2 linked regions of the Xenopus tropicalis genome follow. The protein of the gene in region 1 purifies or fractionates together with the protein of each later gene. This does not show direct contact. Links are inferred from orthologs where the notes say so. Each region holds a gene or a part of one and is shown in the gene's direction. Other genes may lie near its edges.

Region 1 (3,755 bases):
AACATGCAATTGGACAGTATAGAAAGAGGCTCCGTTTTGTATTCTTTTTTGCTCTTTCAGACTCAACCTGTCTGCCCTACAACCTTACTCCCTGTGCTATAGGGTATGTGATTGTAGTATCACTTTGTACTGTGATGTGGGGGCAGTTCTGCAGTTGATCCTTAAGCTATAACTCTCAGGATATCTTGGGGCTTCTGAGAGTTGTAGTTCAACGCACCCATATGTATATCAAGTCTGGGGTTAATGCAACATTTGGAATCTATTTCTGTAGTGACTTCCCAGCTGGACACAGAGAGCAGGGAATTATCAGCCATGCAAGTAACTTGAGAGGGGGAGGAACAGGGCATGAGTAGTTATTATACACTTTAAAAAGGCATGTTTTCCCATATATGCTTTCATTTTTTTAGAATTTTTTTCACATATTAGGCTATTTTTGGGCTACTTTAAAAGTGGTTTTTGGCTAGTTTTGGGCTGGTTTTAGAACTGATTTTGGCAGGTTTGGAAAAATAAACCTGGCAATTCCGCCTCTCCACCAACCAACAGCTCTCTCTCGTTCTGGCTTTGAAGTCTTTGGCGCTGCGTGCAGGCTCACAGTAGCTAGGAACAGGGCGCAACACGATAGTAGTAATTAAAGAAAGACTGCATGCACCATTATAGCAGAATCATATCGTTAGTTTAGCATGGCATTTCGCCACGGAGAAAAGTATGTGTGTGAACACACAGATCCCTGCTCGTCAGGTACTTATAATGAACTGCGAACAGTGAACGATTTCAGAAGCTCTAAAAGCTTAGCGCTCGCACACACAACTTATCTCAGAATTTTCCTAACTACAGTTCCTCAGCAGATCTCACTACTCTTACCCGTCAGCTTTCTGCAAACCCTTTTACCTTGCACGAGCAGAACTATACATTGAAACTCCCCCTCCCTTTTCAAGCATGGCACCAGAACCTTCTTTCCCAAATATGTCACATGGTGCTATGACATTGGTAGGCAGGGATAGAGAGAGATAGCAGGAAAACACTCCCCCTGTGACATCACTCACCCTCCCACATCTTGGTCACATGACTTGTGACTTCACAACCTCCTTTAAGCCTCTCCATTCTAGCCCTTACCGGTGTTTCTGTGCTGGGGAACATCCGCTGGCCTTCGGTGCTTAACTCCTGGGATACACGTGAGCTGTTGAGTAACCTGGGTAGATACAACAGGGAATCCTCAGCTTATCAACATGGCTGAGGGTCAGCCTTCAGGTAAATAATAGATTCCAAATGTTACAAAATATCCAGCCTATGGTTCCCTGGGTGTTGGTGAGCTTCAGCTTTCAACATTACCGGATGACAGCTAGTTAGATTCAAAGTTAATTACATATAGGACATTTTTGGGTCTCAGTTTTTTTACAGGCTTTAAATGTCTGAATGTGAATGAGTTGCTGTTAACAGTAAAACTGAATTATTATATTTTATATTTTCAAGAGGAGTATTTCAGATATTGCTTGTTGTGACACAGGCCAAATTGCATGCGCGTAATCTGACATTTTATAACCGTAAGTTAACTTTCAAATGCAAGTTATCCATATTTAGGTTTCTGCAGGGAAAATCCTTAGCATTAACTGGGTTGTAAGGCTCTTTGATTTTCCATTACAGATTGTTTAAGTGTTTTTTCCCCACTTTTATCTGTTGCTGAACTACAGTTGCTGCCATGCTTTTAAGCCATTGTCTGGGAGCCACATTTCAGAACAGCTGACATGAACATTCCTCTTTAACAAATGTCAACCCACTGCAAACATAGTGACAATTTAAAACTTGGTGAAATTAGAATAAGAATTATATGGTTGTAAGTATCATGTCAACTCTCCACCATTTTAAAATGATAATTGTAATAATTTTGGGCAATTGACATGCTTATGGGCCCACATGGAGCAATGTGTGAATGTAGTAGGGGGAAAACACACTTATTTACTATGCACCTGTATTCATATTCTTGCTGTCGAAGCTGTGAACTGAAGCTAAAGTCCACCCACATCCTCCAAATGCTTACATACATATAGTACACTGAATTTGTAGTAAAATTAAAACATCTCAGTTACACTCTGCTGTGGGCATTGCTTGTGTTAAAAACCACATGGTAGATTTTACACCGTTATTTTACGCATGTTCTGGCGGAAGATAAACAGAGTAAAAAAAATTACACTGTTTTTACACAGCGAAACCTAACGATAAATAGGCCCCTTATTTTTCGGGCATTTTATTTTATCTCAGTCTGGATCAGATGAAGTTGGACAGGCCAACAAGACACTATTAGGTGACTGAAATGCCCAAACACTCAGGTGGCTATAATAGTCAATTATCAGTTTGTTTAGATCACTGGAGTCGTCTTCATATGACTAGCTTTATACCAGTGACATAATTATTAAGGAGCGTTTCTTTGAAACAGCGTTTTGTAAAACAGTATAAGACTCAACACTACTTTTTAGGCTTATAACGCAGATAGGGGGGTTATAGGAATATATCTTTTTTTCCCATGAAAACGATCAGACCAAAGAGGCCACCCCTCTAGAGAAACTTAACTTTCATTTGAAGCATTCTAAGTGTTTTTTTCATAGAAAGGGCAGTGATGTTGTGATGGCAGATTCTATTAATGCCTTTCAGAGGGCTTGGATGATTTATTGAACACATGTAATATCCAAGGCTATTGTAATACTAAAATCTACAGTTAGTATTGATGTTGGTATATGTGGTTTATGTATGTGAGTGTATAGATAGCTCAGTATAGGTTTGTGTATGCCGGGTGCACTTGGAAGGGTTGAACTTGATGGACTGTGGTCTTTTTTCAGCCCTATGTAACTGTGTACGACATGAATTTTGTCTTTTTCCCCCAAGAATATTCATGTTAACTAAACACTGGGGTGTCTTCCCATAATATGTGCAAACCTTATCCACGCTCTAAAAGTGTCAAAGTGAATTTACTACTGTTAAAAGACCAGTGAGAAAAAAAAGGGTGAAAAACCCCACTACTTAACCTCTCAATTGTGAAAAAAAACCAAAAAAAACATTTTTTATTTATGTGTCTCCGAGCTGCCTTCCTCTATCTAATCCGTGAAGTGCTTCCAATATTAACCCCTGAGAGTTGGCGCTCACAAATCACTAGTAGTGATTTGTGAGCGCCAACTCTCAGGGGTTAGTGTCTTCCTATAATGAAAGGGAATCTCATCTAGTATGGTACAAGTCTTCAGTGTCATTTGAATATGCATGCATCCATCTACATCTTTCTGGGATAATCGTGCCCTATTACATTTATGGCTGCACTGGAGGAAGGCACAAACCAAGGAGATTACCCAACAATTCTGTATTCTAATGCTAATTTGACAAAACTTGCTTTGGCGATTATTTTAAGACTAGTACCACTTCATATATCCATATAACTGTAATAGCATTAGCACTGTTTTTTTTTTTTTTTGGTAGCTGGACTTGAATATTATTATAGCAGTGAACAAAAACATTTACAATGTAAAGGTTTAGTGCTCGCATTTTTTTTTTTAATTGCTAGCTAGCTTTATATCTGTACTGACTTTTTTTTTTTTTTTTTAACAAAAATCCAAGCCTTCTAGATTTATGAAGGATAATGTTTTTACCTGTCATTTTCTTTCAGTGTAAAATGTAATTCTTATGCCACCAACAGATAAATGCAGATGGTATTAAAAATTTGCATGAAATTACAGAGGTCACCACATGATTTCCTGGAAGTGGTCAATTAGTCT
Region 2 (3,655 bases), on another chromosome or scaffold:
TTGTGCTTTTTCTTGCAGAGAATACTATTTTAGTGTGGACAACCTGCAGAGGGACTTCTTTTTGCGCCGGAAGATGGATTCTGAAGGTTTTTTGCCCGTTGGTTTGATTGCCAGTTTCCATCGAGTACAGGCTCTTACCACAGATATTGAACTGATAGTCAAGGTAAAGTGAACTGTGTTGAATTTTGTTTAAATAAAAAAAAATATATATACTCAGACCGTACCACTGTTGCTCTTCAGAGCATCTGTGGCTCATGTTAATGAGCACATATATGTTGATGATGAAGGCTTCTTGTGCAGAACTGCATGTCCATATGTTACCAGTATTTGTCATAAAATAAGATGAATGTACCCATTCTTTGATTGTGTGCATGTTTATAGATATATTTAGATAAATGTGTGTGTAAATGATGCCTTTGTGTTCTGCAGGCACTAAAGGATAGCAAAGTGGTAGAGATTATTGATGAGAAAATTCGCAGGAAAGATCAGCCAGATATGTGGCCACTTCCAGGTCCCTCCCTTTCAGATGCTTCCCAGACCGACTTCAATCAACTCATAAACTGTCCTGAATTCGTCCCCAGGCAAGGATTCCAGAAGGAAACAGGTTAGTGACCTTCAGTTGTTAAAGGTATTTATGACAGAAATGTAATTATAAGAAACTTTCCCAGTACACATACATTTATATAGTTGTACAGGCATAAGATCCATTATAAAGAAAGTTTTGACTTATAGGAAGGCCGTCTCTCATAGACTCCCTTTCTTCCCTTTTTGCATAAAGAATCTGCTCCTGGCTCTCCTCGAACATCCAGCCCAGCCCGAACGACAAAATCCGAAGAGGTCTCTAACTTGAAGACCATGCCAAAGGGTCTTTCGGCCAGTTTGCCTGACCTGGACTCTGATAACTGGATAGAAGTCAAGAAAAGGCCGCGACCTTCCCCAGCAAGAACCAAGGTAATGCCAGGTCAAGATTTGGGGCTTGCTAACATAACCTCTATAGCAGGGATCCCCAACCTTTTATACCCGTGAGCCACATTTAAATGGACAAAGTGTTGGGAAGCAACACAAGCATGAAAAATGTTCATGGGGGTGCAAATAAGAGCTATAATTGGCTACCTAATAGCCCCTATGTGGACTGGCAGCCTACAGAAGGCTCTGTTTGGCATTATACTTGGTTTCTATTCAACCAAAACTTGCCCCCTAACCAGGAATTCAAAAATAAGCACCTTCTTTGAGGCCACTGGGAGCAACATCCAAGGGGTTGGGGAGCAACATGTTGCTCCTGAGCCACTGATTGGGGATCCCTGCTCTATAGAGTCCGAGAATACAGTATGAGCGCAACAAATGGAATGATATTACTGTACACTGCAATTACATCATTCCATTTGAAAGGACCCACTGTGCAGTTTATAGATATGCCTTTTATTTATTTATTTCTTGTGTAGAAATAACAAGTAAAGTACTAGGGAATCACTTAATACATGAATTGAACTGCCTTTCCCAGTTTGCAGCTGGAAATAATATACTAGATGTTATGACCCATTAGGTTAGAGAGCAACAAGTAAGTAGCATTACAATAGGCAGACCAAAGCTGCACACCCAGAATAAACCTTGGGATTTAGGACCATAATAAATTCAATGTTCAAGTATTTTTGCCCCTTTGCAGTGCCATAGTATGTTTAAACTGGAAGCTTGTTTAAAACCATTATATTTACTTTTATTTACATTTAATTAACACAAACAGGATGAGGTTAAGTCGCCACAGGTGGTTACACCCTTGCAGGTGACTCCACAAAAGCCACCCAAAGATCAAGATGAGCCAGAGGAATTGGACTTTATGTTTGATGAGGAAATGGAGCAAATGGACGGGCGGAAGAATACTTTTACTGACTGGTCAGACGAGGACTCTGACTATGAGATCGATGATCGAGATGTGAACAAGATTCTTATTGTGACACAGACACCGCCTTCACTACGTAAGCACCCTGGAGGTGACCGCACCGGCAACCACACCTCCCGTGCAAAGATGAGCTCAGAGTTTGCCAAAGTTATTAACGATGGTCTGTTCTATTACGAGCAGGACCTGTGGACTGAACAGTTTGAGCCAGAATACTCTCAGATTAAGGTGAGTTAAGCATAAGCAGTGTTTTCCACATCTGAACTAAACCTTATTTCCTTCTGTTGAGGTCTTAAGATGGCTGTACTCGTACCAAAAAAATTATTTCATATGAATCAGTATGTGTACATCGGCGGATGGTGGGGCCTGTATAAAACTTTTATCTGCTTATGTACTGTATGTGTTAATATATGGTGCACCAGCAGATAAGGTAGTGAAGAGGGGCCAAAACTCCACTTTCTGCTTTTCTGATGGTTTCTCTGTGTAAAAGAGCTGACTTGTGTTGCTTGAGTGTCCATCATCATTTTTGTTTCTGGGCAGGAATCCTAATTCAGAAAAAAAGTTCTCGCTTTGTGTTTTTGTTTTTTTTTTTTTACTTTTGGGTTACTTGTATAAAAGTGACCTTCAGAAAAGATAATGAAAACTCTGCCTTCTTAAATTTGTGTATGATTTGGTTTTGTATACCTGCCATAGGGGTGAGGATTATATAACAGGAGCAGCAGTTATATTGGGGTTGTGCTGGAACATTTGGGATTCCAGTGTCATGTTGCGGTTCATGTGAGAGTTTGTTGTACAGCTTCCGGTGAGAGCAGAATAATAGACACATAAGTGATACCTCTTTTTGGACAATTTTTTGACAGAGGAAACCTCTTCACGTGTGATACTGATTGTATTCAAATTCAGGTTGAGGACTGCAGGCTGTACATGCCAGCTATAGGGGTTTCTAGGCGACAACTGGTGTTTTGTCAAAAGCAGCTTGCCTCTGTAAATGTCCTCAAAGCAAATGCCATGTGACTGGAAGCGGAGAGGAAGCAAAAAGCATTGAATTGCAGTTTACCATTCTGTGTGTTTCCTTCTTTTGGGTACTGATGGGCTATTGTAATTTGTAAGCATGAAATCAGTCAGCTGCTCTCACATGTGCTAAGCCCTTCCACTCTTTGTTGCCCAGCTTTTTCTGGGCCTTGCCTTCCTGTTCCTGGTAACACAGCACTGGGAGTTGTTCGTGTGATGTTTTCTGGACCATCTAAGAGGGCAGTGGTGGGGCATGAGGGGTGTTTTCCAGTTGCAAGGGATGTCTGTCCTGTTATCACTATGTTCTACAAAGCAGAAGAATCCCTCTTTAGCAAACTATTTGAAGTACTGTGTGCGTGCACCTTTATTTCATTGCTGGCCTGGATCTACTTACCCTTCACTAGGAACCTAGAGCAGGAGGAGCTGTATTGGGTCTACCTTGCCACTGTCTTTCCAGGTAGGAGCTTCACTGTGGGCTTTAATATGTGTATTCTGATCTGAAGACTACCAGCATCCTAAGATAGCTACTGGAACTCCTAACTCCCTAAATGTTTGGAATCTCTGCTTCATCTTACTGTTGAACTGGGTTTCAACTAGAAAATACCTATAATTACTTTTCCCCATACCTTGCCAACACCTTAAAAGGACTTTCACAGAAAAACATGAAGAAAGATTTTCTTTTTTTGCTACTGTTTGGCTTTTTAATGGGCTCTGCAAAAATGTGAGTGAAGCTGCTTGTTGAATTGTGTG

The links. Proteins that work in one complex are often made in the same cells at the same time.
Region 2: the proteins of nfx1 (region 1) and larp1 purify together in Homo sapiens (affinity purification with mass spectrometry, with the first as the bait; 3 studies listed by BioGRID). This does not show direct contact. The link is inferred for Xenopus tropicalis from reciprocal best matches to the Homo sapiens genes NFX1 and LARP1.

What each region holds. Positions count from the first base shown.
Region 1 is NC_030682.2:76,153,478-76,157,232, reverse strand, and holds the start of nfx1 (transcriptional repressor NF-X1), read left to right. Parts: upstream 1-1,008; 5' UTR 1,009-1,226; coding exon 1,227-1,248; intron 1,249-3,755. UniProt on the Homo sapiens protein: Binds to the X-box motif of MHC class II genes and represses their expression. May play an important role in regulating the duration of an inflammatory response by limiting the period in which MHC class II molecules are induced by interferon-gamma.
Region 2 is NC_030679.2:19,800,773-19,804,427, forward strand, and holds part of larp1 (la-related protein 1), read left to right. Parts: intron 1-18; coding exon 19-163; intron 164-429; coding exon 430-604; intron 605-778; coding exon 779-951; intron 952-1,741; coding exon 1,742-2,122; intron 2,123-3,655. UniProt on the Homo sapiens protein: RNA-binding protein that regulates the translation of specific target mRNA species downstream of the mTORC1 complex, in function of growth signals and nutrient availability.